4 linked regions of the Astyanax mexicanus genome follow. The protein of the gene in region 2 interacts with the protein of the main gene of each other region in a pairwise test. Links are inferred from orthologs where the notes say so. Each region holds a gene or a part of one and is shown on either strand. Other genes may lie near its edges.

Region 1 (8,118 bases), on a different chromosome or scaffold from region 2:
TGCTGCTGCTGGGCCTCTCGCTGTTTTACAACTGATTTTAGCAGATTTCTAGCTCCTATTGCCTGTGAAACAGTTGTTGAAATTATTTAGCTGTCTGCAAGTTATCATTAAACTGTCATCTTAATGGCACATACGTACCTTCATTTTTTCTTTTTCTGCTTCCTTGGCCAGTTCATCCACCATCTCAATGAGTCCACCCACTATTTTCTGAAACTGGCCAATTTCTGTTTTCCAAGAAATGAAATGAAATCAGTTTAATTAAAGCTGTTATCTGACAAGTGGTGGAGAGTAAGAAAGTGCACATGCAGTTACCCAGTGCAAACACCAAACCTTTCAACATCAGGGCAACAATGTTAAATGTTTGTCTACTTAATTGATTTAATATATGAAAAATATAGATGCATTTTTAAAGACTGTAAGTTTTTATTAAATTTGTAAAAAGTTTGCAAAAAGTCTTTAAAGCCACTTGGTTCTGTCTCATGGTAATTCATTTCCATCAGTGTTCTGTGTTCAGACTTTAAAGTATTTAACAGGTTATTTTACATGGGATGGACAGTAATTCAAATTGAGTATATATCAGAATGTTTCAATAATGGTGATATGATGTTTAAACACTTGTTGATTTCAACAATCATAATTGTTTTTGGGTACCGTTGTGGACATTCTTGGCAGTTTTTCTACTGAACTGATCTAAATTAATTAATACATTGTGATAAATTTGATTGTGTACATTTTGGCCCTTATTAACATGATAATAAAAGTGTTAAAAGTCTGGAAATAAATTATAATACAGCCATACTTACTGTCAACAAATTCTTTGCACTCCTCTTTAAGCTCTGTGGTCTTCTGACCAACATCAGGTTCAAGTATTCGTAGCTTATTAAGTTCATCGAAGTGAAGCCCAGCTTCTGCCAGTGGATCTTTAGCCATGACCTGAGGCCAGCCAATCACTGATTAGGTCCAACTGTTGAGAAGCAACAGAAGATTACAGTCTTTTTAAACTGTGAGTCAGTTGTGAGAATAAATGTAAACTTTTCTTTTCTTTAAGGTTTAAACTGATGATTAAAACAGGACTTAATGAGACATATGGTACAGATCAACTACAGTAGAGAAAAGTAAAAAAGTTAAAAAATAAATAACACTTAGAGACATTTGATCTGATTAGTAACTAATGTTATGGGCAGGTTTAAATCTCTATAACATAAAGTATTATACGAAAAGCCTTTATTAATCCCACAGCAGGTTAATTCACAATGTTACAGCAATGCAAGGGACAGACAGAATTGTCAGGAAAGAGAACAAAAGAGAACATAACAATAATAAAAATTATAGACCTAAAAACAGATTAGATAAAGCATGGTTACCCATCTCTTATGATAGGCAGTGACCAATATTTTTGTAGATAAGCTGACAGTAAATAAATATACAATTCAAGTTCTGACTACCAATAATATAATGAATATAATAAAATATATTTTTATTAGTAATCATTTTTCTGTTACTAATAACTGTGACAATTATAGGCATGTATACACTGAAATACTAGTACTTCAGTGTACTAGTAACATTTTAATTATAGATAAGAGATAGTAAAGGTCATTGTAAATGAATATTGTAAATCAATAGTAACACATGACAGGTCAGAAAAGCTTTATAGATCTATTGATCTGTAGATCTGATATTATTACTAGTAAACATTTCATAGGTGACATCTGAAATAAGTAGATTCTGTATGAGTTAGTAAAATCTGGTGTCATCTTATACTAGGGGTGGGCAATATGAGCCTAAAATTATATCAGGATATTTCAGGATAACATTATTTTTGGGGATATGACAAAACAATAAATAAAATAATAAATTTAAGAATACACTACTGCAAGAAAATTAATATTAAAATGTATTTGCCAATATAATTGTATACCATATGATATGGTGCACCCCTAATTGGCATTTTTACCAGACTGTAATAGAAGTCAATGATGCAACATGTCATAATACTAATAATGCACTCCAAATATCTTCATATATCTAGTAAAATAAATAATATTGGACAGATATAATCTGTCTCTAATAGACTTTATTGGGAAATAAGACCTATGGGAATTTTCCTTTTACTGAAAAAATCACAAAATTGTACCATAATGCCCATATGGCCCTAAAATTAAATAATACAGCTCTGGAAAAAAATAATTGACCACTTAAAAATTATTTTCTTTGATTGATTTTAAAAAAATTAAAACTTCTGGAATATAATCAAGAGGAAGATGGATGAACACAAACCATCAAACCAAACTGAACTGCTTGAATGTTTGCACCAGGAGTGACAAAGTTATCCAAAAGCAGTGTGTAAGAATGGTGGAGGTTTTCTTTAAATTATTTGAGGTCTAAAAGCTCTGCATCTTTTTTGTTAATTCAGTCATTTCTCATTTTCTGCAAATAAATTTTCTAAATGCCAATATTGTTATCTGGAATTTTGGAGAAATGTTGTCTGTAGTTTATAGAATAAAACAACAATGTTCATTTTACTCAAACATTTACCGATAAATAGCAACATCAAAGAAACTAATTCAGAAATTAAAGTAGTCTCTTATTTTTTTCCAGAGCTGTATATCAGGGTATTATCTACCACCTATCTTAGACTATTTGTAGGTTATCTGAGCAGCTGGGTGACATATGGCTGCTGATCAACTGGTGTTGGTATAGTGAGGATTCCTGATCACATTAAAACAGAGTATCTAAACGGAACTGACTAAACTGACAGCCTGTAAAGCTGCAGTTTCTTAGCTCTGCTCTCTGATCCGCCGAGTTTAACATCAGTTTACAGAGCTTCTCTCACAACACAACAACTCAGCTAATCACAACAATCAGCTAGCGGGGTTAGCAACGCAGCTATCGAGTAAACCCACCACAAAAAACACACTGTATTTAACATTATAAACCGCTTTATTTACTATAGAAAGTGAAGGAATCTCCACACATACCCGCTAAGCTGAATTAATGGAGATATGCTGATCTCGCCGGTCTCTTCGCCGTTTTCTCCGCTCGCCGCTTCTCTCGGTTATGTGGCAGAAAGACTCTCCAGATCAGAGATTCTCTACTGAGGAGAATTCCCACTACAGAACGTGTTCCGGGTTCATCACAGCACCAGAGGGCGCTCAAAATCATAGTTTATGTTTAATATGTCTAATAAAAATCATACTAAAAATATGTTAATTTCCTCAATACAGAACCATATTTAAATAATGTTTAACGCCCTTTATTGCCAGTTACAAACCTTTTAAATGTGTTATGGACGTCTTTGTTACCGCATAAGCTTGCTAAACAGTCATCTCACTGTAACTAGAACAGTGCAATGTTTACCCGTAATTTTCAGACCATTTAAGGCTAAATACAATTTCCCCCCACATGCTATAGTAAAGGCCATTTTCGTTTTACATTTCGGCCTTCCATAATCTAAAATTTCACAACAAAAAAAAGAAATGGACCTTTACAAAATTTTAAATCCAAAAAAAGGTAAAAAAAAAAAAAAAAAAAAAAAAGGTAAAATCCAACCTTATAATACTAGATGAAAAATTAAAGAATTGAGTAAAGGTTTATTTTTTCATTTTCCCTAAATTTAAGATTTCTTTTTATTAAACCCATTTCTTTTTATTAAACCAGATGGAAAAAAATGAAATAATGAAAAGTAACGCCCAATTCTTTATTTTTTTTTATTATTTAGCCTTAAACAATCATAAAGTGATCAGCATTACATTGATGCATGCAATTTGTTGTCCAAAAATATTTGTTGTAATAACGTAGAAAATACGGGTACGTTTATTTGCTTGATTAACAAATTTATTCAATTAGTCAATTTACTTTTTACGTTAATGTAATATCCGGGACACGTAGTTAATTAATCATTTTAATTTGAGTTTTTAGCTGTTTAGCTCCATTCACCCCCATTCATTTTGGACTCCCTCGCGGGCTCCCTCTAACGATTTGCACTTATTTTCTGATATAATTAGAAGTGGGCAGGCTCTCCGTAAACCGGCTCTGCTCCAGATGATGAGATTCCGTCCCCGCCCCGAAGAGTCTCTGCCGCTGCCACGGCGACCGGCGGATCAGTGCACTGCCCCGTTAAACCGGGGGCCAAAACAAAACAATAGATTTACGCGTTTAAAAAATGTGTTCCTATAATGTATATAACACTTTATTTTGTACTATAACTCTATTAAATGTCTGTAACACCAATATCCCATAATATATGTTCCCTATTTTACATTGCCCACAGCATTCACACAGTGCTGTGTTCCTGGACATTCAAAAACGTCCCAAAAAAGTATTTATAGACTTAATAGTATTTATACAGATTTATTCAAGGCCTTTATACGTATTCTTTGGGAATCATATCAAATCCATTAAAAGTTTTAGTAGGACTTTTATTATGAAAAGCCTCCCGGTATCTCCAACACTGCAGGGGGCAGTGGAGCTGCTGAGAAAAAACGGAGAAGAAGAACACGAGCAAAACATTCAGCGCCACAAATCAGCCCTCTTACTGAAACTACATGTAGTTTAATACACACTGAGGTAAGATCTAAAACTGGTTATTATTTCGGCACACACACACAGTTGATGCAGATATTTGGTGGAATAACGCTGTTTTTTAATCACAGTTTTCATGCATCCTGAGTTAATCACAATTTCCTTTGGGTTTTTGGCCATTTTTGACAGGCTGCTCAAACTGTTTTAAAAGTTTCCTGAGATCACTTTAGTGTTGCTGTTTAATGTTTAACAAATGTCTAGCTAACATTAGAAGTTAAATAACAATTAACAAAAATGTTTAGCTTGCTACTGCTTTGCTTTTAGTTTTTTTTTTTTATATGAGTAGAAGTAGGTAGCTAACAAGCTAATATTAATGCTTTATGTGTTCGACAGCCCAGTGGGGTGGAGCAGTATGTCTGTGTTAAAAACTGCAATATTATTTTTTTGTATTAATTATCTATTAATAAATAATCTATTTATATCAATAGGGCATTTGTTAATATTGTACAGCTCTAACCTCAACCCCTACATTTAGTGCCAGGAAAACAATTCAGTCTTTAAGCATATTTATATAAATTTCAACAGCCATGTTTTATGGTCCTATTTGATTTACCAAAAATATGCTATTATATGGTAAAATATACTATGGACATAAATATGGACCCTGGACTACAGAGTCTCAGTTTTAACTATCTTCTATAATGTCATTGCAGGTGTTTTCTGTGATCAGAAGAATGCCTTTGTCAACTCAGTCTCAACCAGAGAATGATGAGTACATCCTGATAGCTAGTTTGGATAATGTGAGAAACCTTTCTAACATCTTAAAAGCAATATCCTTCAAAGACCATGCAATATTCAATGCGACGCAGAATGGGTTAAAAGTAACCGTAGAAGACTCCAAATGTCTTCAAGCAAATGCGTTCATTCAGGTCAGTGTTCAGAATGAGACATTAAGAATTCTCAAAAACACTCAGTTTTAAATGCATTTTGACTGTAATTGATTGTGTGGTTTTCTCATCCTGCAGGCAGACATTTTTCAAGAGTTCACACTTAAAGAGGATGTGGTTGGGTTTCAGGTTAACCTAACTGTGCTTCTGGATTGTCTCACCATCTTTGGAGGAAGCACAGTGCCAGGCACGTTTCTATGATAAATAATGATTAGATATAATAATGCACTGTTAGTGTAGTTGCATCACTGATTGAGCTAAAACAACATTAAAAACATATTGTAATTAAACTGTTTATGATTTTATCTTGATGGATCATACATTCTCTCTCTTTAAAAAAATGAAGGAGTGATGACTGCCCTGAAAATGTGCTACAATGGTTATGGCTATCCATTGACCCTGTTCCTGGAGGAAGGAGGAGTGGTTACTGTTTGCAAGATTAACACCCAAGAACCAGAGGAACCCTTAGACTTTGACTTCTGTAGCACCAATGTGACCAACAAGGTCATACTTCAGTCAGACAGCCTGAAAGAGGCTTTCTCAGAACTGGACATGACCAGTGAGATCCTGCAGCTAACAATGTCACCCAGTCACCCCTATTTCAGGTACAGAAACACTATGCCTTGTCTTATTGGCAATGATATTGACCAAGAGTGGGGGACATTTTTGTGTCTTACATACATTCAGCTCGATTCGGACGTGGGCGATTCTGTATCGATTCATAAATGCTAAAAATCGATTTAGACTTGCCAACATGTACGAATTTTGCATGCATGTTCTAAAATACGCATAACATTTGATCTCGCATTTCCCTGATGTTCTCCTTCCCTGTGTGAGTCTGTTTTCTGCCGCTCACGCTGTCAAGCTGGGTTTTTTTTACTACGATCATTAATCCAGCAAGCTACCTATCAAGCCATCCGCTACTTTCCTCCAAACTGTCGATACACCGTCACTATGCTGAAGGCACTTTTTTGTACTAATCATCTGGTTAATTAAAAAAAACTATGCTTTTTTAAGGATATATTATGGATCATTACAGATGCTCTACTTCATTAATATTCATACAATGAGAACAAATAAATCCTGTATAAAAGAAATAGATGCATCAAGACGAATCGAGAAACGTTTTATAATCTAATCGCAGACCTCTGAATTGTATTCAAATCGTAAGGTGCCTAGAGATTCCCACCCCTATTATTGACCTATTATTGATTTTGTTGACAATCTCATTAGGTTAGATTTGTGCATCTGGATAAAAACTAGCCTGTTATCTAATAAACATGTTTACATCATGGAATATTTTGGGCCCTTTAAAAGTAAGTATGGGCACATAAAAAAAAGATAAAATAATAAAAATTATGTTTTTTTCATGTTGCATTATGTTTTTTTATGTTGTATGTATAATAATTAGCCCTGTTTAACTAGTTGTTTTCCAAAGCTTTATCACATTTAAAACACTGCCTAAAACTCAATACCATATTATATTACTAATATCAAACAATATAAATAATTAATTTGATTGTTTTCCCCCCAGATTGTCCACATTTGGAAATTCTGGAAATGCCCATTACGACTATCCCAAAGACTCTGAAATGATGGAGCTGTTCCAGTGTACAAAGACACAAACCAACAGGTAAGAAGACCAAACTTTGTAATGACTAGAAGGTTAATTTCCAAATTAAAATGATCAAATCAGATTTGTTCACAGACATTACAGACAATGTGAATATAGACAAAATTCATGTGACACAATTTTAGTTCCTGTCCTATGACTTTTGGCATTGACGCCGGATAATATCAGTTTGTGTTTTGCTGTTGCTCACTCAGGTACAAGATGTCTCTATTAAAACCCTCCACCAAGGCGTTGGCGCTGTCCTGTAAGGTGTCTGTAAGGACAGACAGTCGAGGCTTCCTCTCATTACAGTACCTTGTGCGGAATGATGATGGACAGATTTGTTTTGTTGAGTATTACTGCTGCCCAGACGAAGAGGCTGATGAAGAATAGACCAACATGAGTTATTTTGCTCATCTTAAAACGTGCTGTTAATTGTTTCCCTTTTCATGTTAAACTGTGTCGTTTAATCAGATTAGTGATCTGATTTGTTCATTGTATTTTATTAAATTCAGTTTCTAAAAAAGAGATAAAGTAACAGAGCTTGTATTTGTTATATAATAAGATTTTGAACTTTATAAATCTTTTTATCAGTTTCTTTAAAGTTGTTAACATGAAGATGATCTGATATGACACATACATTACTGTGTGATATACCATTAAAGGAGTTTGAAATCTCCAGTTGTTGCTCTAGAGTTGTTTATTTTTGGTAGTTTTTTGGTAGGTTTGGTAGATTAACCTGCCAGCTAATACAACAGAGACTTGACCCTTAGGGGACCTTAAATATAAAACTAAGACTTGTTAAAACCAAACAGAACAGAAAAGTGGAAGTTGTTTTGAAAGGTTAAAAGGACAACAACAGAACAACAACAACAACAGCAGCAGCAGCTGAGTTGACACATTTTGTTTTTGACAAATGTGACATTTACATTTAAACCCTTAGGAGACCCTTTTGGTATAGAATTAAAATTATGTGTCCAGTTTACTAATCCTGATCCTGTAGTATCGCCTGCTGCTTATGCAGTTCTCTCTGGT
Region 2 (7,727 bases):
CTCTAGTTTTCTACAAGAAACAGCACCCATTGGGACACAGTCAAGTAGATATAGCATAAAAGATATATATATATATATATATATATATATATATATATATATATATATATATATATATATATATATATATATATGGGCTCTTTTTATAGCACATTTTCAAATTTGTTTGATCTACAGGACACATCATCCTAATTTAGTGCAATAAGAGTCAGTCTAGTTAAAACAAAGACAGTTTTTCTTTTACAAATTTAAATCCAAGAGTTTTTTTTCATGGCCTTACTTAAGAAAGGTTGTAAGGAGCAGTAAAGCCACTCTGCTGAAGTGCAGTGTTATACAGGAGTTTTAGTTTGGTTCTCCAGCCCCAAGACTCAAAACTTGAGCAGTATTAGCATTAGCTAGCTCTTTCGCCGTTCAGAGGTGAGTATTATCGGTCTGTAACCTGCTACCAGGTTAACCTGTCTAACCTGTAAACCACTAGCTAATAGCACCCTGGTTTACCGGAACACTTAAGGAAATCTGGAAATCTAAGCTTGCAGCAAATAAATAGAAGCTCCTTACTCACCCAAATAAACTGTATTTAGGAGAGAAATCTGTGTAGATTAACATCCAGTGCTTATTTGAATTATAGTTTTGTTACTTTGCATGGCTTAGATTTAAAGGTCTCGTCACCCAGTGGCAAGACCTGCTGAATCAGAAGGAAAACAGGGCGACACCACTGTTCATTGCTAGTGTCGCATAATGCATCTTAAAATCCAGTGCACCTTATAGTGTGGAAAAATACGTATACATATTTTGAAATGATCTTACCTCTGGAGAGAGTCTGGACTACTTTCTTTTTTCTTTGCATGGAGACGTCACAGGATAAGAAGAAGAGCAATGCGTACACACACCAGCGGCCCATGATTACTGTAAGAATCAGACAAACAGTGAGTATATTGTGCACATGTCTGTGTTAAGTGTTAAATTATCAGTATGATCAGTATGGTGGAATGTGTTTAGTTAAGTACCATACCCCTTTCACATTGCAGCCTGTAGCTATTAAAGGGATTGCTTAAAAAAAAAAGAGGAGGTGGCTGGTTGAGCAAGTGGTTGGACATGATTAACTGGTCGGTTTAAAAGGCAACTGCACTGTTTGTAGGTGTAGTTTTTCTTGAGGATGTTTTACAAATCAGGATATAATAGATTTATTGAAAAATCTTCCTGCAATTGCTAACATGAGCCTAAACACATTTTATATGACAGAACTCACACACATGCGAGTGTATTTACAGCTATGAAACTCACCAAAGAGGTCTGAATATATGGCCAACTGGTCTGTTTAACAGCTACTTTTTTAATTATAAAATATCTACACACATTTATTTGTATTAATGACATACACATTGGGCCAATACAATAAACAAAACATTTTGTAGACATAAAAAAATTGTCTGACAGAACCCACAGGTATGCAGGTATATGTATAGCTATGAAACCCACCAAACTGGTCTGAATATACAAATAACTGGTCTATTCAAAAGCTACTTTATGACCATTCCTTTATGATTTTTTTTTTACAAATCATGTTGTGGAGTAAATATTGAGAACCCTGCATGTGATTAGTTTTTTTTTTTTTAGAAATGCATGTTTAGACAGGCTGGTAAAAGCATTAGCATCTTGTTTTGATTATAATAATTGTTCATAACTTCCTCTATATCTCAATATTAGCTTACACTTATCCCAGTTGTGTGAAAATAAATTATACTGTTGTCAAAAACGAAAAAAAAAAAATCACAGATATACACTTTACACAACTTAAACAAATATGACATTTAATTTGTCACAGCCAAGCATAAACACAACACCTTTCAATTTCCCAATAATACATAATTAATTAAAAAACAATAAATACCAGTTTTTAAGTAAAAAGAAATCTTACCAAAAGTGAAACGGCTGAACCAGCTTTGCTCTTCTGCTCTGTCAGTCTGACAGTATTCATGGTGGTGCAGGTGCATTTATAGCTTAAAAGAACTCGCCAAACAGGTCTGAATACACGTACGAACACATGGCTAAACAAGACGTCCTCCTCCCAGTAGCTTTTCAATGACTCAAATTCTCACATTCATATAAACCACAATTTACAATTATTTTTTCATGTTTTGTTTACTAGCACTAATGGGAATCATGCACAGGTTACACTTGGACAAATACTGATCTCTTACTAAAGAAATACTGAAGTAAATAGAAGATGATCTGATATTTAATATGCTTAGTTTTGAGTCCCCCCCCCCCCCAAATTTTACATTTGACTGGTTTCGAAAAAGGAAAATCAAAACCCACTCTTTGACTGTAAAAGACCTTAAGGAAGATTGACTCTGACTTTGGGGTGGTAGTGCACTTTTATATTGTGACCTATATGTAGGCAAAAGAATACTTTTCTTGTGACACAAGTTTTCAAAGAAACACGTCCTGTGGATTGGTGGAGATAAAATTGGTTTTAGGCATGACCTGTAGAGATACAGCATGCAGGTTCAGAATTTCAGGAAAAGAACCTCTTTTCATAAGAAGGTGACACTATGGCACAAGGACCAGATGCTCAAATCACAGGTCAAGCTGCCTTGCCACCCATTCTCTTTTTGTCCGGGTAGGTAGATGGCACTGTCTGTGATGCTGGCTGGCACAGATGTATGTTGACTGATGTATCAGAACTAGGGATTTGGTGCTTTTTTCTAAGCTCATTGATTACCTAGTGATTCTGCATTTGAAGAAACAACGACTGGCTTCACATGTAACAGAATTAATAGTGATAGAGGACATCCTAATGTGAGAGCAGGTTCATTAGCTAAGCTAAATTGGGGGGAATAAAAGATGGAGAAAATATAAAATAAGAAAATAACACCTGTTCAGTTGTTAATCACAGGGGTGTATTGATCTTGCTTTGGAACTATACAGGGGTGATTTGTAATTAAGAATGTGTGGCTGCCTTTGTTGTGTATGTTGAAGCACAGAATTTGCTTAAACCAGTTAGAGGCCTAGAGGCTGTTATGAATTAAAGGTGTGGTTTTTTCCCTGTCTGTAGCTTTGTTCATGGGACCGGCAGATTTTTTTAGGTGTGTCAAAGAGTGAACAAGCCAGATTTTAGCACAGGCAGTGCTCTGCAATCAGTGATATTGTGAATTGGCTCATTGGAATTGGATCTATTTCATAACCTGTAACTATTATTTCACTTTCACTGTTGTAACACTTACTTTGATTGCAATAATAATGTGCCTTTTTGCATTTATAGTTATAGCAAGCCCACAGCCCTGTAATTAGCAATCCAGAACTTGCAGCTGAGCCACCACTGGACAGCTTTTTATACTGTAGCCTAATATTAATAAATCCATCTAATGTGAAAAAATACAGCAGTTTTTCCATGGTATGATGGTATTTCATGGTACTAAATGTGCAGTGGTATATTCAATATACCACAATACTCAATAGTATCATATAAATATCAAGGACATCTTGAATTATTCAACAGTATTTTTACCATTGTAGTTTTAAACCATTGTACTATTTTGGCTAAGGCCAAGGTAGACAAAATACCATTGAAATTATTTAAAGGATTTCATGTCTATATGGGCACATGCAGAGAGATGTTTAAATTACTTATATATAAAAACTAGTTACTTTTATTCTTCTGGTAAACCTGAACAAAATGTTTTACTTAACTGGAAAATTCCGCATTTCACTCAGTCATTTTATACTTTAATTTTTAACCACATCCATTCTGCCTCTACCTGTTTTTCTTAACCTTAACTACTTTTTTCAAATCACTTTTTATTTATTTGTTTGTTTATGTTTGTTTATTATTTTATCATCAATAATATTTTATTATTGTATAATTTCATTATTAGTTAGTTAGCTTAAGTTTATTTTTTGTACTTAAAATATTACATTGAATTGTTTACATTTTCTTGTTTTTAAACCTTTCTTATACCTATTTATCTTTATCTTTGGTTTACCTTCTTATTATGTATTTCCCTAGATCTGCTATCTGGGTTTTCTGAACTCTTTTTAAAAAAGTCTTAATTTCAGTTTAATATTAATTAATAATAATGATTATTTTCGGGGTTTTTTTCCATTAGTTTTAGCTTGATTACTGTCCTCTGTTTTATTTTTTTTTTATGTAAAGAGTATAAATCCCTATTATTGGAAATTGTTGGCGGCAATGAAAATACGGGCTCACCCTCAGTGCAGCTACCTCTGAGAAAAAAATAAAGATTGACTGATTAATTGATCGTTGCAAAATTATTATTATTATTATTATTATTATTATTATTATTATTATTATTATTACTATCATTATAAGTAGTAGGAGTTCATCTATATCCCCTTTAAATATTTATATTCATATAAACATTACTCTCCATTACTCTCTATTCTGTTATAGTCAGTATATTGTGCAGTAAATGTTTTATGTTTAATTTTTTCATATGTTTAATGTATAATAAAATGTGTTTTTAGCTAAAATCCTGTATTAGCTTTAGCTAAAGTGTATCATGCTATTAAACAGGCCCGGAGTTGTTAGCCGTTGCCATGGATATTTGCCACCCCTTGACAACCACGCAGGGTGTGCGCGTGCGCATATTGGCGAAGCGGGGCATTGTGGGATTGAACGCTATTGACACAGCAACACTGAGAGCCGCTCAGTGATTGTAGCTCCTCCGTTTTTGGGGTCTTTTTGCGGTGAATTACTCAATATTTCACACGGGAGCAGCGGTAACGTCGAATAGAGGACCGTAGGGCTTTGCTATGAACGGCTCGGTGGCTAAAAAGACCCAGGAGGTTCTGGGGAGAGTGATAAAGAAGCCTCCCCTGACTGAAAAACTGCTCAGCAAACCGCCGTTCCGATACCTGCACGATATATTAAGCGAGGTGAGTCCGGAGGAGAGCTGTCTGTTCGGTTATTTACCGAGAAATTAGCTTAAACCGCTAAACATCACGTAACTATAGCTGGATAATTTAACTAGCTCACTAACGTTACTGTGTCTGGCTCTGAACTCCTCGGCTCAGTCGGTCCAGATGCGCACAGCATTACAGGCTAACTAACGGTTAGCACTCCTACTTAAGCTCTCCTGAGCTCTGCAGGGAGCTGCAGATCTGGATTAGTGCTGTAAGGTGATGTGAGGTGGTTGTTCTTCTGCTGTTTTGCACCTTTCCAAGTTTTGCTCTGGCTTCACCACCACTGTAGATTATAGCCCACCGTTATAGCCTAAAGTAACACCACCAGCTTCAGCTAACTAGCTACAAGGGCTAGTCCAAGCCCAAGTTTTTACTAGTGAAACTCAAGTTGGCTAATTAGCTAACCTAGCTCGTGACAGATCTCTGTAGCTAACTTAACGCTAAGTTAGCTAGTTAGTTTTTACTAATAGAAACTATTATTTCAGATATCATCTCTGAAATGTTTAGTTACTAGATCTGTAGATCTACAGATCTATGTGTAGCTAAACACATTCTGACTAGACACACATTACCAGTACCAAACTCGGGTCCTAACTCTCATTTTACTAGTCAAAACTCAAGTTAGCTAGCTTAAGTAGCTGCAGATCTCTGTAACCTGTGTATAGTTAGCCTAGTTTTATATATTGAAATATAATGTCTGAAAGTTTTAATAGTGATTATGTCAGATCTACAGAGCTATAGCTAAACACATTCTGACTAGTCACATCATCTACAGCTCTGGAACAAAAATGAGAGAACAGTTAAAATGATTAGTTTATTATATTTTACCGTATTGAAAATCTCTGGAATATAATCAAGAGGAAGATGGATGATCACAAGCCATCAAACCAAACTGAACTGCTTGAGTTTTTGCACCAGGATTGGCATAAAGTTATCCAAAAGCAGTGTGTAAGACTGGTGGAGAGGAACATGTCAAGATGCATGAAAACTGTGATTAAAAAACAAAATTTTGATTTCTAAATTCTTAAAAGAGCTCAGGTCCTAACTCAGTTTTTTCTATGAAAACTAAAATAACAGATCTCATTTCAGATATAAGCTCTAAGATGTTTATTATTAATAAATAATATTAGATCTACAGATCTATGTCTAAACACGTTTTGATATCTCTAATATTACCAGGACCACATATATGTAATGTAATTGTATTTTTAATCTATATTTCTTACCTATAATTACATTTGTACAAGTAAAATCTTCAGTAATAGATATCTACAATTACTTTTTTTCCCTTACAAAACAAAAATATAGTTCAAGATATCTCCACTGCCATTCTGACTAATATAGTCTAGGTCTGCATCTATGAATCAATTCTGGCTTGTATAGTTTTGACTTCTAGTAGTGTGGGTTAAGGAATTGAGGTTTATATCTCTAATATGGAAATTGTATATAGTTACAGTTTAGTTCAGTGTATTAAACTGCAATTTCTACTTCTCAAAACTACATTGTAGATGTCTGGAATGACAATTTTCAAGAGTAAAGAGAAGTTATACATAATGTAATTATGTAAACAAAAATGTATTATAGATAAGAGAGTGTATTTTAATAATGTAAATCAGTCATAATAATATGACTAGTCAAAATACATAAAGGATATGTTCTCCTGGTAATATAACTAGTGATAATAGCTTGGTCTGTAGATCTGATAGTGTTACTAGTTAATATTACATAGCTTAAATCTGAAATATGGGTTTTTATTAGTAAAAACTGCATTAAAGAGATCTTGAGTTTAGGTTTTATCTGTAAAAACTGAGTTAGGACTTGTATAGTCAAAGTCAAAGTCAAAGTGGTTTTTATTGCCAGTTCAGCTATATACAGAGTACACAGTGAAACGAAACAACGTTCCTCCAAGGACCATGGTGCACATAAACACAGTTTATGTGGGTTCATTTTAGGATAAACCAGCGTCCATAATAGATGGGTATTCTGGAAACCTACATTGTTATTGAGTTATCATTATGATGCTTTTGGGGGTTGACCTTAAGTTAATAATACTTGGTAAGTGGACCTGTATCTAATACTTCCACTGTTTCTACTGTCAGACAGTTATGTATGTCTTGGTCTGTTGTATTCAGCTTCAGATTAGAGAATGAGACACTGTCTCTCTGTTCTGTTAGTGCCTCTCTCACTGCTTCACTGTTGCCAGGCACCTTGCTTAGCTATGGTTATGCAAACAAACGAGGAAGCCTTATGGGTGCTTGTACGGTCTGCATCCGCTTACCTAGCCACAGAGGTAGACATCTACTGATGCTGGAGGAGCAATGTTGGTACCCATCACACCAGTTGTTCCCAACCCTGGCCCTGGATAACTACCACTATATTTTAGAGTTTTTTTTTTTGCTTTTTAACAAATTCAAGAGGCCATATGTGCACATATATGATTTTATTTTCATTTACATTAATGATATATGGATGACACTCTTATCCAGAGTGATTATATACCTAAATCATTTTACACAGGCAAATGTAGTGTTAGAGACATGGTTAACATATCTTTGTTTAGATGTATTTGTCCAGCTGGGGAATCTGCCACAGGAAGGGCAATTTTGTTACCCACTATGTTTGGGTTGTGGTTTCAAACTCTGGTCATGGAAGACCCCATGACGTGCATATGTAGTGTTTTTCCTACTCTAACACACTACCTTCAACTCAGCAAAGGCTTGCTAATGATTAGCTGGATCAGTGTGTTGGGAGCACAGGGTTAAAACTAAACTGTGCCATGCAGGGGGTACTCAGAAGGTCAG
Region 3 (7,307 bases), on a different chromosome or scaffold from region 2:
TTTATTTTATGTTGTCTCTGTTGTATACAGAGGCCGGTACACTACCGAAGACTTCCAGAATCATAAAACAGAACAAATAATCAAAACTCTCAACAATGACATTTGCATTGTAATCTTGCAGTCTTCATAGTATGCATCAAGCGCAGGTAAGGGCAATGCTGGACTGAGGGCCAGACTTAACTCTGTTGAATGTGTTAACTGTAAGGTTTAGTAAGTCTGTTACAACAGAGAAATCAGCACCCTGATCTAATGTAAAAGCCTTCCCAGAAGAGTAAAAGCTGTTAACAAAAACCCTAATAATATGCTTAGTTTTACAAGACATCACAAGGGCCTGCAGGATACACAACCCCCGTAAGACCGATAAAGGTCTATTGGATAAACCCACCTATTCAAGGAAAAAAACATGTTGCATGTTTCTAGTCCATTAGATCATCCAGAATTATGTAAACTCACCCTCAATGGTCTGTGGAGGCAGAGCTGGGGCTTCCTCTACTGCAGGTTTGGGATCCACAGGTGCTGGCTCTGGCTGCTTCTCTTTAGCTTTGCTTTTTGCTTTGGGTTGCTTTGAGTCCTTTGAGGCTTCAGACACTGAAGAGATCTGCAGTGGTTCAGCCTTCACCTAAAATACATAGAGAACGGCATTTAAAAACAATAAACAAAATATACCTAGATAGACTCTATCTAAAGCCTGACAGACAGTCTGTAAACATACAAAGCACAGTGGATGAGACATCTGAATTAAACAGGTTTTCCTCTTACCGGTTTCTTTTGCATTGGGATAAACGGTGGTGGAGGGGGACCAAGCGCCATCTCAAAAAGCTGGTCAGAATATGGAACGCTCTTCTCAACATTTGCTCTGAATTTAGGGTCCCATTTAGCGTACAGGATTGTACCACCTAGACCTCCACCGACTGTTAGGATACTAGCAGCCACAATCTTTCCTGCAGCTGACCTGCCATAGACCGACCCAAGAGAAAATGCATCACATTTAAAATGAAATTATATTTAGAGAGTCATAATATAACAATGGCAGGTTAGTGTGCTAGAGATAATCTGTATGGTAAATCTGTATCCAAACACTTTATTTGTAGCTAAGCATTTTTTTTTATTTAATCAGTCAATTCATACCCTGAGTTTCCAGCTGAGGTGTAGCGGCGGCAGTGCTGCAGAGGGTGGACTGGTACCTTACCACAGAGGCAATTCTGAGAAGACAAAAAAAAAAAAAAAAAACATTATCCACAAATTGACAGCAACTCCAATCAGAGCCCATAAACAAGAACAGATGTGTAATCACCAATGATAATCAACTGGGTGATGGTGGGAGCAACTGATCATGTAAGAATACAATACTAACACCAAACTATCCACATGGGATAACACAGTGACCACTGTGCAACACCCTCACAACCATGTGATACACCATAGCAACTGCCTAGTAACTAAAGAGCAACCACTATGAACACTATATCACTCATTTAGCAACCCATTTCGCAACATTCTAGAAACTACCAGGGATACCACAGCAACCACCTAGCAACACCACAGCAAACATCTAGCAAAAACATCCTCATCACCTAGTGGCCACATGAAAACAACTGCCTGGAAGTGTGCAACCATTCTGTCTGGTGCAGTAACATACAACAGATAAAAACAAATACACTGCTCTCTTCAAATCTCAATCACCACCTCAATAATCATATAAGAAGCTTAAAATCACTACTACCTTACAGAATAAGTAACTTTTTGTGTAGTTAAATAATCCCTAAACAAAATCCATGGAATATAATTCAACAATTTAGATTAATTATTAAAACCATGTACACTATCGCACTATTTATAATTTAAACAGTTAGAGTGTTGTCTGTGTTTCTGTGTCTTTTTCTAGTGATTATGATGAAAGTCTGAATGTGCTGCGTGTTGTAGGTCTAAAGGTGCTAAACAATAGTTTCTGCTTTTACTTTATGCTCTGAAGCTCCAGCTCATCCCAAATCACCATCTTAGATGGGTTTAGGTCAGTATTGCAGAGGACAAACACTGTTTAGTTCACTATGCAATTCCACATGTATTCATTGATTGTTTTCATGTTTTTATTTTGAATCTACAATGTAGAAATTAAATAAAGCAAACAATGAATGAGAATGTATGTCTAAATTTTGACTGGTACTGTATGTCATACAGTAATTTGCTTCTACTGATGAATTTAATCTGGATGCAAACCCTGTAATTTCTATCATGTACTGTGAAAGTGTCTTTAAATACTGTGAGAGAATATTTTTGAGCTCCCTTATCAGCCAGTCTTACTTACACCCTTTGTGTAAATATAACATGCACAAGATAAAACATGTGATTATGTGTAAAAAAAATGTGATGAACATCTGAGAAATCAGCCATATGCCAGGGGTTTCCCTTCAACTCCAATGAACTTGGCAAGGTCACGCCCTCAAATTGGATAAAAACAATTCGCCTCAATGCGAAATAAACTCAGTCGCGGGTTCGCGCGCTCCTTGTGCACTCGATATCACAGGTCTGATATCTGATTAAAGCGAAATAAACTAAATTTCAGCAGCAAACTATAAACTCTGCACCAACGTCTCCTCGGTTCCTAATGCACATGAATGGATGACGGAAAACTTGAATCACACTTGGTACGCCCACATCCACGTCACTGAAGAAGAAACGCGCCCTATTGGTTGAGGCACTCGTTTCTACTGCCGATCTCACATTTCATTTGCTACATCAGCCGTCAATCCAACACGGACGACCGCCCCTCCACGCTTTGACTTACGCCGTTTACGTAGAACTCAAAGTGTCCCAGCTAGCAGCTACACAGTTAGCCACTTCAAATGACACGCAATTTATCACCATAAATCCAGAGTTTTAGCGCTGCTGCACCTTAAATAACACACTACAGGGAGCACCGAGTAACTGTATAAACAGAGGCGTCTGATAACACGTTATTAGAGCCGATAGACCCGGCCGGCCTGCGGTGTGGGTCACTAAATGACCGCTCTGGGGAGTTTAGCTCTCCGGCTAATCATAGACTCGGCGGTCCTTCAGCAAAGCTTACCCGCGCCGCTGCATTTGCACCTTTCCAGCACACGCGCAGCATTGTGGCCTTTCCTCCTTTCGCGTCTCGGTCTAAAGCGACAGTCTTAACAATCAGACGGCTCAGCAAAACATTATAAAAGTGGTGAACCCTCGGTAGCACTGCGCACTCACTCCCAGCGCCGTTCGCCGAGTGACGGAGAGGCCGCGCATGCGCACTTGGCACGACCAGCTGCTGGGGTGGGGTGGGGTGGGGTGGGGTAGTCAAGGGTTCATGTCACTTTAGAGAATTTTTAAAATAATATCCTTCTGTATTATTAAACACATTGAAGAAGAAATCCGGAGTGAAATAGACTTGGGGTGTAGTGAAACATTACGAGAACAAAACTGTTCTCGATTAGCCCACCTCCATTTACCCCCAGCATTCAGAAATACAGATTTAATAGCCCATAGGGGCATAGAGTTCATTAAAAAAGACTGTTCATACACAACAGCAACAGCGGGAATTCAACTCTCAACTCACCCCCAAATTTGACATAGTACAGTAACGGCTCAATCAAATGTAAACATGGGGTGAATATTGGTATTTAAATTGTGTGAAACTGACACAAATCCATAATTCCTGCTATTTACTTACTTTTTTTTCTCAGTAGCATAGTCGCTGTGAATTGGAGAATAGTTTTGCGATATACTGATTATCACTGAATCGCAGTTTTGAGATATAATAATAATAATGATAATACTTTATTTTTATATTGCGCTTTTCTAAAACCCAAAGACGCTTACAATTATTGGTACAAAGATACAGATATACAATACACAGACAATACAGGTACAACATTTACAGTGGAGCTCCAACTCAGCAGTACTATAGTATGTGAGATCAAACATAATGTTAAGCAGAAGAGAGACCATAAGCAAGAGAGAATAGATGAGTTTTAAGATTCGATTTAAATATGGGAAGAGTGGGAGATAGCTTAACTGCAGTTGGAAGAGAATTCCATAGTCGGGGAGACTCCGGTAAAGTTGGTTTCATATTCGCATATTCGGATTTCTTTCTTCAATAGCTTTTGAACTGTGTGTGCAAAATGGTTAATACTTGCTTATTTTATATGCTGACATCCAAAGCAAGCAGCTACAACGTCTTTCCCCTCTCAAACATCTGCCTTTAGAAAACCACAGAACACATTGTCGTCTATGGGCTGCCGCGACCTGCACGAGAGCTAAGGGACCGTCTACAAACTACTCGACACAGCAAAAAGGCGAATGAAGATGGGCGGGGCAAATGCTTTATGCTTCATTATATGAAAGTGTAGTGTACTTTAGTGTTTTTAGCTGGTCACAAATGACAAGACTTCAGGAGTTCCTGACAATATTTTTTTATAATAATTGTTTTGTTAAAAACAATCTAAAAATATAAAGGTTACACTCATTTTTTGTTCAATTTGTAACTGTTTTTAAAAAACCTTTTTAAAAAATATTTCATAAAGTATTTCATTCTGATTTTGTGACAAAGTTTCAACTGAGTATATATTTTATCAAATAATCACTTGTAGCCCATTTTGCAAGTCTTACTGTCATTTGACCTGCAGTTCAACAGAGGGCTTTCAGGGTTTCTTTTTCTGTTTTACTGTTGATAGTAATACTGTCATTGGTGGGTAGTAACCATTGGTTTGTTTAATTTTAGTTGAGTATACAGAACCGTAATTAAACCATGTAAGAATTGTCAAATGATAGTATTAAAAGGTTTACATTCTATTGTGACTACTTCTGAAATAAATATTATGAAATATAACTAATACCTCTTCACTTGCACAATTGTTTCAGCAGGTGGCACCAAAGTTGGACAATTATAAATGTTACTGTCTAAATATTTGAGTTGTATTTTTAACTAATTTTTGTTTAATGTTATTTTTTTTCTTCTAATAATTTTTTTATTTATCTGTTTCTTGCTGAATCTTTGTTGTAACAATATCAATTACTTCCAATACCTTGTTTACTTTGAAAAGCTCTTAGTGTTTTGCAAATGAGCCTTTATGTAAACCAAAGCAAAAATTTCTTGATGAAATCTAACGGTTGCTGAAAATACTGACTAGGTGTGGACTGCACACATCAAGTTATATCAAGTCTAACCAACATGACATACTACAACTATGATATTGGTCAAATTAACCCTTGCTGATTTGTAGCAACAGTTTTTTGTGAATTAATTTCAATAGCTTTTGAACTGTTGAGGGTATCACAACAGAACAAGTTGTATTAGATCAAGTCCCACCCATATGACATACTACAACTCTGATATTGGTCAATTTAACCCTTGCTGATTTGTAGCAACAGTTTTTTGTGAATTAATTTCAATAGCTTTTGAACCGTTGAGGGTATCACAACAGAACAAGTTGTATTAGATCAAGTCCCACCCATATGACATACTACAACTCTGATATTGGTCAATTTAACCCTTGCTGATTTGTAGCAACAGTTTTTTGTGAATTAATTTCAATAGCTTTTGAACCGTTGAGGGTATCACAACAGAACAAGTTGTATTAGATCAAGTCCCACCCACATGACATACTACAACTCTGATATTGGTCAAATTAACCCTTGCTGATTTGTTGCAACAGGTTTTTTGTGAATTAATTTCAATAGCTTTTGAACCGTTGAGGGTATCACAACAGAACAAGTTGTATTAGATCAAGTCCCACCCACATGACATACTACAACTCTGATATTGGTCAAATTAACCCTTGCTGATTTGTAGCAACAGGTTTTTTGTGAATTAATTTCAATAGCTTTTGAACCGTTGAGGGTATCACAACAGAACAAGTTGTATTAGATCAAGTCCCACCCACATGACATACTACAACTCTGATATTGGTCAATTTAACCCTTGCTGATTTGTAGCAACAGGTTTTTTGTGAATTAATTTCAATAGCTTTTGAACCGTTGAGGGTATCACAACAGAACAAGTTGTATTAGATCAAGTCCCACCCACATGACATACTACAACTCTGATATTGGTCAAATTAACCCTTGCTGATTTGTAGCAACAGGTTTTTTGTGAATTAATTTCAATAGCTTTTGAACCGTTGAGGGTATCACAACAGAACAAGTTGTATTAGATCAAGTCCCACCCACATGACATACTACAACTCTGATATTGGTCAAATTAACCCTTGCTGATTTGTAGCAACAGGTTTTTTGTGAATTAATTTCAATAGCTTTTGAACCGTTGAGGGTATCACAACAGAACAAGTTGTATTAGATCAAGTCCCACCCATATGACATACTACAACTCTGATATTGGTCAATTTAACCCTTGCTGATTTGTAGCAACAGTTTTTTGTGAATTAATTTCAATAGCTTTTGAACCGTTGAGGGTATCACAACAGAACAAGGATTAATTTGACCAATATCAGAGTTGTAGTATGTCATGTGGGTGGGACTTGATCTAATACAACTTGTTCTGTATCAATAACCTTAACGGTTCAAAAGCTATTAAAATTAATTAACAAAAAACTGTTGCTACAAATCAGCAAGGGTTAAATTGACCAATATCAGAGTTGTAGTATGTCACGTGGGTGGGACTTGATCTAATACAACTTGTTCTGTTGTGATACCCTCAACGGTTCAAAAGCTATTGAAATTAATTCACAAAAAACTGTTGCTACAAATCAGCAATGGTTAAATTGACCAATATCATAGTTGTAGTATGTCATGTTGGTTAGACTTGATATAACTTGATGTGTGCAGTCCACACCTAGTCAGTATTTTCAGCAACCGTTAGATTTCATCAAGAAATTTTTGCTTTGGTTTACATAAAGGCTCATTTGCAAAACACTAAGAGCTTTTCAAAGTAAACAAGGTATTGGAAGTAATTGATATTGTTACAACAAAGATTCAGCAAGAAACAGATAAATAAAAAAATTATTAGAAGAAAAAAAATAACATTAAACAAAAATTAGTTAAAAATACAACTCAAATATTTAGACAGTAACATTTATAATTGTCCAACTTTGGTGCCACCTGCTGAAACAATTGTGCAAGTGAAGAGGTATTAGTTATATTTCATAATATTTATTTCAGAAGTAGTCACAATAGAATGTAAACCTTTTAATACTATCATTTGACAATTCTTACATGGTTTAATTACGGTTCTGTATACTCAACTAAAATTAAACAAACCAATGGTTACTACCCACCAATGACAGTATTACTATCAACAGTAAAACAGAAAAGAAACCCTGAAAGCCCTCTGTTGAACT
Region 4 (7,940 bases), on a different chromosome or scaffold from region 2:
AGTACAGTAACAGTAAAAAAGAAAGATAAACACAGAAACCAAAGTAAATGCTCTAAATAATGTTACTCTAATCAGGGCTGCAGACCTTTTATGACCTTATCATCAGAAGAAAACTGAGAACATTAAAAAGCTGATAAAGCAGGTGAAAGACAAACTGGACTGAAGAAAGAGAACATAGCTCTTGATCTGCAGCTGGCCAGCGTGGAAAGGACTGTTAAAGAATGAAGCATCTATGAGGCAGTATTTATCAGACTTTAAAATCTACAGCTTTTGAGATGCAGTACAGGTTTAGAATATATTTCACTCTGCACTTTGTAATCATTAAAATTATTCAATATTCATAAAAACAGGCAGAACACATTTGTGTTAAAGTATTTGCAAATCACTTTGTTCGTAAATGAATACTTAATGTGTCGGTCATTTCAAAATCCTTGCAAGAACACACAAAATTTACACCCACTCCTGGCCATGAATAAAGTGTGTGGAGCATCACAAAAGTGACTGCACTTAAATTCAACTTCAACTCCAAACTACATAGAACTCATTTTAAACAAAATGTTGTTTATTCACAGTCACCTTTTTAAGCAAAGACATCAGCTTTAACAAATAATTGCATTTTCAATAGTATTAAACAGGTGAACAAAAAGTGCAAAGTGCAAAAAACTAAGTACAATGACTTAGAGGTTAAACTCTGTTGTCGATGAAGTTTCACAGTAACTTGAAAAACACTTCAATCAAAGTCAGGATGCTGTGACAGTTTTACATGCACTAAGTTCAAAATCAGTTACATTGAATCATCCTTTTCTTCAATGTTAAAATAATACTTCTACCACTTAATGTTCCCAAACCCCTAAATGAAGATTTAAACAGTAAAGGATTGAAAACAGAGATTTATGATGACAAGAACAACAATAACATAGAACAAAAAAAGACCTTAATGAATATTAGCTGTCTGTGAAGTCCTCCGCTGTCCTATCAAAGTGCAGAATACTGTCCTCCAGTCCAAAGTGGTCAATAAGCTGAGAGAGGCTGGCTTTCTGGCGATCTGTAGGTAATTCTGTTTGTAGTTCATACAGCACTGCTTGAGCACACCGCCTCCATTTATCTATCAGACTCTGCAGCTGGGTCAGATCGTTCTAATAAGAGAAAAAATATATCATTCACTACGGACACATTTTTTTTATTATCATGTTTTAACACAAACACAGATATATTCATTATGATATTTACCTTCTTTCTGTACATTCTGACCATATTCAGCCTTCGCAGAGTCTCAGCTTTCTCCTTGACATCTTTCTTTAATTTCTCTTGGAGGTAAAGTAACTCACTTTGAGAGGCCTGAGAAAGGTCAGACCCACATCTCTCCACACAGTCTTTAAAGTCTTTCTTGGTCTCATTTCTGTTCACATCAATCTCAGCCTCATCCTCTGTTGGTCCAGTCTGATCTGCCTCTCCGTTTAAACTGTGTGGTAAGTCATCTTCATCCACTTTAAGCCGTTTGACCACACTCAAAGGGGATGTAAAGGAAGGCCGTGATCTTTTTAACCTGGCTTTCAGGGCAGCACTCATGGGCTAGGAATAAATAGAGAGGCATTCAAACACTGCACCTTAAACCACACATTTTTTTTATTATTGTGGGCACATGTGTGCGAAGGTTAAAATTCTGATGTAACAAATTACACAAAAATGTCAGAATTTGTATTTAAACATTCTGTTCTATAAATTGTCAGAACTAGCTCTATGTAACATTAAACATTTTATTAAAGCATTTAAATTGTTATGATTGTTGGAACAGACCTATATCAGCAAAAATAAATTTTAAAGGAGCTAGTTTTATCTTCAGCACTAACTCTAAAATGGGGGGCCTTGTAAATCAGAAATCAGTCGATTCTAGAAATCAGTGGTGACCTTAGGTAACCTAGCCCTAGAATTATATTATTACGTTATATAATTATATAATTACGTTATAGCAGTGAATTGTTTTGACAATATAGGGACAATACAGCTACAGCTTCAGATTGCAGCCTGTGAGAATAAACGTAAACCATACATTTTTCAACCCAGCAATCCAATTTCCATTTATGTTCTTGATTTGTCTTTAGTTTGTAGTTAATTTATGTCACCTAAACTAAAGAAAACTTTTAAACCTCCAACAAACCTTTAAAGCCCAGTAAGGGTCTGTAAATTAGCTAGCTAACTATTTACACATGATATATCAGTAAATGTCGTTTGAATATCTAATATTTATTAGACCTAATCAAAGACTTAATGTTTTATATGTACTCCTAACTGTACAGTAAGTCACAAACCTATATTGAAGCACAGTCATGAAACAAATGTATGTGTGTATGTAACGTTATATATATATAGTTAAACTGATAACTACCTTGTTTACACTGGATCCACTTGGAACAGACTCCTGATGCTCTGATGAGAGTCTCACCGGTGTTTTATCCATAGCTGTCTGTCTGTCTGTCCGCAGCCAATTCAAAGTAGCAGGGAAACTTTTACAGCTGAAGCTAGTAAACAAGCTTAGCTTAACTAAAGCTGCGCTTTAAGACAGAGCAAGCATTAAGGAAACTCAGCACAGTCGATCTATCTTGTTAAATATGCAAGATCTGCAATTAAACAGCATGATTATTTGGCTATATAACGAACGGTAGCTCTGAAACTCTCAGCTGAAAAACAGCAGTTTACATTCATACTACCGCCTGCTGCCTCCAAATGAATCGTCACTTCCGGGTAACACAAGGGTTTCATGGGAAATGTAGTATATTTCCAAAGCTAAAAACTTGCATTTATCAAAATAGCACGTTTATATAAAGATCTCCTGTCTTTAATATATAGTTAATTGTGAAACGCATTTAATATGAGAATATAACTAGTCGTATAACTATAGTAAAAAGGAACTAGAAAGGTTTATTTATAAATAGTAAAGAAATAAGTATGCAGAAAAAGTGAGAAAAAAAAACCATTTATATATTCTTATTGCCTACAGTGTTACAGTACAACTACAGTTTCCATGCTTTCTCCTTGACATCTTTCTTTAATTTCTTTTAAAGGTGAAGTAACTAAATCTGAGAGAGGTGAGACCCACATCTTTCCATACAGTCACATACATTCCATGTGCCTCTTGGACTCATTTCTGTTCACATCAATCTCACATCATTCTGGAAAATCGTCTTCGTCCTCTTTAAGCCGTTAACCTTCTATTTGCCTATAATGTTAAATATTTGAACTCCCCTAAATTGCCTTTGTATTTTAGCTGCTTTGAAATTCACATAACGTTATTTGGTGAAACAGATAATTGCAGTATTTATACGAAAGTAATGGTTTAAACAGTCACATTTTTTACACTGTGGGTAGATAGTTGAACAGAATTCATTGTGTTTCAAGCAGCTTTTAGTTTAAAAGTAAAGGGAAAAAATGTAAGGGAAAAAGTTGGAGATATAAGGTACTTTTTTGGTAAGATTGATTTGATATAATTTAGGACCAGAGACCAGTAAAAAAGATGGACGCTGTGTCTCCGTTCCCATTCACTCAATGAAAATGAAGAAAAAATCTTCCACCATGTTGGCGATCCTGACACCCCAGTCTGCACAGTAGAGACCAGAGGAAGGAGAAAGACTGTGGAGAGACAGCCTACTAATTTGAATAACCCCGCCCCTGAGGGCTGCCTCGCGGTCACAGACTGCAGAGCGGAGCTGACGATCTATTACTGGTCCCACCCATAACCAGCCCTTTTACAATAACCACACCTTTTTTGAACAGAGCTGAATAACGTTTTAAAAACGAATTCTTTGGGGATATAAAAAATTGACAATATAAGCAGAGGTTACACTAGCTGTTGCATTTAATTAATGGAGGTAGAATTACAGTATATTAGAAAAATGTGTGATTGAAAGTTGTCTATTTTGCCATTGAAACCTATGGGGATGGGTGGGGTTACACTGCTTTCTGAAACCGAACAGCAGGGGGCGCCCGACCTGTGGTGGCTTCAGTTTTGCGAGACGATGCTCTGTCCAGCTATATACAGTCTATGTTTAGGACATATAGATGATAATACAGTCTGTATTAGATTATATTTTTTTACAGTAATGAGTGGTGATAATGGTGAGTTTTACATATAATTGTTATAAGGAAAATTAGGCATGTCAGCAAGAGGAGGACGGTCAGTGTGCAGGTAAGACCTACTAACAAGAAGTAAGTTAGAAAGAATATCTGGCTGGACTGGATTCCCTTTACACACTGAAAAAATACTTAATTGTCACTGGATCAATTACACTCTGAGCTGATCTATTTGGCCCCAGTGAGTTAGCACAGGTTTTTATAACAATTGTATATCATGCCCACAGGAAATGGGCAAGAAAATGGTGGTTAAAAGTAAGTCATAAATTTCATGTAGCTACAGAAAGAGAGAGTACGCCCTCCTTTTTACTGTACCACTCTTTCTTTTACAAGACCAAATGCTTGCCTTACGTGCGTTACCTATTTAATCAGAAGATACAGTTATTTAATTATTATAGTGCTGCTCCTTCTGCTTTTGCCTTCATCCACAGAATGTTGTGGAGATCAAAAAGTCAGCATGTCCCGGCTGGTGTTCAAAATGTTTACTGCTTGGAGTTCTGTATTGCTTATGGTTTCACCCAAAGCTAGAATTAGAGCCACAAGCTGCTTTCTCATAAAACAGCATAATCATCCCTGCTTGGTGGGGAGAAGTTCCAGTTGCAAAAAAGATAGGTGGAGTTTGGATTTTGGCTCACTGGGTTTTTCCAGTGATGATTACTATATAATGTGGTGTGACTAGGTCCTCATTATAGACTGTTTATCACAACCCACAGTTGTACTGTTCATGTATTTAATTAAGCACATTAAGTAAACATTGTCAGTGCAGGCTAGAAAAAGTAAGTGAACTCTTCAGCTTGATGACTTAATTAATCTAAAGATAATATTTAGCATCAATCAGATGTTGATTAGTTTTGCACAACATTGAGCGGGTACACCAGCTTCATCATGTATAGAAAGTTGTTTGCATCTAGGCATTGTTCACCTTTTTTGAGAAGAACATATTTTTCAGTATCAAAGCTTTGTTTTTCTTTATTAAATAAACAAAACACTTGTATAACCCACACTTTTATTTAAAACACTTTGGCAAATTAGCTATCCTTAAAAGCATTAACACAGAGGTGGGCTTCCTTTTTCTAGTCTGTGGACATTAAATTAATGTCCTTATTAAAAGACATGAACAGCACAAATGTATGTGTGTGTTTTAGTGTTTATTGTTTGCCTATTATTGCACCTGAGATCATTTTATTACTAATTTAAAATGATCAGTTAAGTAATAATCAGTGCAGGAATCTGCCAAATCAAATTCACAAAATCACATTGCTTGGAAAATATTTAGACCAGGAAGCAGTTTCCATTAATCAGAAAATAATGTTAATTAATTGATAATCCCTTCCACCTGGTTGTGAATGGAGCTTTAATGCCTAGACATTCAGGACAAGAGAATTGCTCTTTGATGACAACAATAACACAGGGCAGGTGTACATATCTACACAATAGCCTAGATAAAGTGTCAACTATAATGTTTCTTACACAATAGAGGCTGGGTGTGTCTTCTGTATCGACATGCCTTTGATGTGGTGAAAAGAGTTTTAGGGAGATTGCAGTTGTTCTGAAGAGAAAGTGTATCATACTGTAGACCTATGTGTTTTCTGCACACCAATGAGCTTAATAATAATAATATTAATAATTATAATAATAATAAAAGTTGCAACTCCCCTTTTAAAGCATATATTTGTATTCATAATAGACAATAAGTGATCAACATGTACCCACATTCAGCAGCAACATAATTAATATTTTATATATATGTATTCATACTTGCATTTTATATACAATAGATATACTGTATATTGTATATATGGACATACAACAAACACAGAAATGTTGATTTCTGTTTGTTGAAATCTTGTTTACAGGTCTCTGGTAAACCGAAGTTGATGTCATTGGACTGGTCCTTGTGGTTGTTTTAAAAGAACTCTGATGTAAGTAGATCAGCTGGTAATGTGTTAACATTTCCATGACAGTGCATGTTTAGCAGAAATGTAATGGCAATAAAAACAAGCCATGTCAGGTTTGCATGACATTCGTTTACCACACAGTGGACAAGAAGTGTGGCTATTTTCTTACTTCACCATTTTACTTGTGGCTGTGGACTTTTTCTAGCATAACAGGGTGGTGATTAGAGGGTCAGCATATAGTAAGACAGGTACTGTTTCAATCTAGCATTTTAACTTTGGGTTATGATATATAATAATAAGGTTATAATATTTGTAATATTTGTAGGTACAACCCAGCAATAATCAAATAGTACAGTACTGTTTATCTGGCATGCTTAATTAGTAAATTACATTCGGCTGAATCCTTGCATGTCTATACTTACCTTTTTTTTTTTTTTTAGATAATATGAATCTTGCCGATGTCCACTAAACATCCACCAAACGTTGTCATTTTGGTGATACAAAATTTTGTCCAACAGTGAAGATATAGATAGGGTCTCCAGGGGTGAACTCCCAATTATGTTGTTTTTTTTTTAGTTAGAATAGGGAGATTATCTTAAAATAAGCTCCCCCTTCAGTGGCATAACAACCTTCTTACATTTGTTTTATTTCCAAGAGACTGATAACACATTCTGCATTTTCAATAATTAATATTATTAATTTCACTTCTCATCTACTTCTCATTTTTCTGTGTTAATAGGGGCCAAAAGGAACAGTATTCTAATAATAACTTTTTAAACCAAGCATCCTGTTGAAAATGTTCTGCCTTTCTGCTACTGTTCCTGCATTCACACATGCTCAGGAGATTCCACTGCTGTTAGCTGTACTCTGTGAATCAGCCTCAAGTGATGGCACATGTTTGAAGTCAACAACTTTGTATAGCAACCAACCCACCAGAGTTGGCCTTCGTGGAGCCCTGGCTGTTCTGATGGCTGTTCTGTGGGGAGCAGAGGTGGAGTCCAGGCTGAACGTGAGTCATGTGTATTGTGTGTCTGGAAGGTGTGGTTAGCTGGGCAGCAGGACAGAGCTGAGCACGAGGGGAAAAGTATTTGGCTCTACAGGCCAACATTGGCTTTGTAGCTCAGGAAAGACTTTCGTTCACATGGAAACCAGTACCATCGTCATAACCAATCATTTGTGCTGCTCCTTTCAGAGATGGTGAATCATTGGGATATTATCCTGGATAATTTTCCCTAAATTATGCTACATTGCCTGGGCAAGTCAGATAAATCTGTTTAATTTTAATTCTGATGTCTGTATACCTTGCAGCAAAAGTGTCACATACTTCATTTCTTAATAAAAAAGCCATAAAAGTGAATAACTGAACCATATACCTTACCTGAAATATATACCTTAAATCCAATAACTGTGTTTAGTGTAAAATGATCAGAAAAAATAAAGAATCAAGTCAAAGTAAATCCTAGACTTATGCAGATAATTATTTAATGATTGTTTACTCAGTATCTACTATTAAGTTTTGTAGAATTATTGTAGGAATTCAAACTTAATACATACTTTATTTGTGTATACTGTTCATTTAACATTTTTAGTAGCATTTTAAATGGGCAGAAACAGAAGATAATCAAATGAAATTTAACTAAAGCAAATAAATAAATAAATATTTAAATATAAATATTTGTAACTCTGGCATAGTTAAATAATGAGAAAAATTGTTTGTAGAAGTGGCAAATCTTCAAAAAAAAAAAAAAAACAAACTGTTACAAACTGTTTTCATACTCATCATTCTCTTACATGCCCAAAATGTAGATACACCCAGCACACCAGTGAAAGCCAAACACTACAGCTACATCTGGATTATATAAAAACAAGCTTAGGAAAACTATAACCTATCCCAGCTGGCCCTTTTTTTTTTTT

What was found.
Region 1: the proteins of traf3ip1 (region 2) and ift20 interact in a two-hybrid assay, tested with the Homo sapiens proteins (2 studies listed by IntAct). The link is inferred for Astyanax mexicanus from reciprocal best matches to the Homo sapiens genes TRAF3IP1 and IFT20.
Region 3: the proteins of traf3ip1 (region 2) and immt interact in a two-hybrid assay, tested with the Homo sapiens proteins (2 studies listed by BioGRID and IntAct). The link is inferred for Astyanax mexicanus from reciprocal best matches to the Homo sapiens genes TRAF3IP1 and IMMT.
Region 4: the proteins of traf3ip1 (region 2) and sfr1 interact in a two-hybrid assay, tested with the Homo sapiens proteins (2 studies listed by BioGRID and IntAct). The link is inferred for Astyanax mexicanus from reciprocal best matches to the Homo sapiens genes TRAF3IP1 and SFR1.

What each region holds. Positions count from the first base shown.
Region 1 is NC_064425.1:16,836,094-16,844,211, forward strand, and holds the start of ift20 (intraflagellar transport protein 20 homolog), read right to left. Parts: upstream 3,112-8,118; 5' UTR 2,982-3,111; intron 965-2,981; 5' UTR 931-964; coding exon 804-930; intron 225-803; coding exon 139-224; intron 63-138; coding exon 1-62. Other genes in the region: cell cycle checkpoint protein RAD1, read left to right, coding at 5,259-5,453, 5,550-5,658, 5,818-6,076, 7,006-7,104, 7,299-7,476. UniProt on the Homo sapiens protein: Part of intraflagellar transport (IFT) particles involved in ciliary process assembly. May play a role in the trafficking of ciliary membrane proteins from the Golgi complex to the cilium.
Region 2 is NC_064418.1:38,618,521-38,626,247, forward strand, and holds the start of traf3ip1 (TRAF3-interacting protein 1), read left to right. Parts: upstream 1-4,617; 5' UTR 4,618-4,776; coding exon 4,777-4,899; intron 4,900-7,727. Other genes in the region: agr1 (anterior gradient 1), read right to left, coding at 808-906, 1,919-1,994.
Region 3 is NC_064417.1:17,879,113-17,886,419, reverse strand, and holds the start of immt (MICOS complex subunit MIC60), read right to left. Parts: upstream 3,257-7,307; 5' UTR 3,110-3,256; coding exon 3,068-3,109; intron 1,203-3,067; coding exon 1,129-1,202; intron 953-1,128; coding exon 760-952; intron 620-759; coding exon 454-619; intron 1-453. UniProt on the Homo sapiens protein: Component of the MICOS complex, a large protein complex of the mitochondrial inner membrane that plays crucial roles in the maintenance of crista junctions, inner membrane architecture, and formation of contact sites to the outer membrane.
Region 4 is NC_064414.1:38,353,555-38,361,494, reverse strand, and holds sfr1 (swi5-dependent recombination DNA repair protein 1 homolog), read right to left. Parts: upstream 2,725-7,940; 5' UTR 2,459-2,724; coding exon 2,387-2,458; intron 1,573-2,386; coding exon 1,231-1,572; intron 1,137-1,230; coding exon 945-1,136; 3' UTR 542-944; downstream 1-541. UniProt on the Homo sapiens protein: Component of the SWI5-SFR1 complex, a complex required for double-strand break repair via homologous recombination. Acts as a transcriptional modulator for ESR1.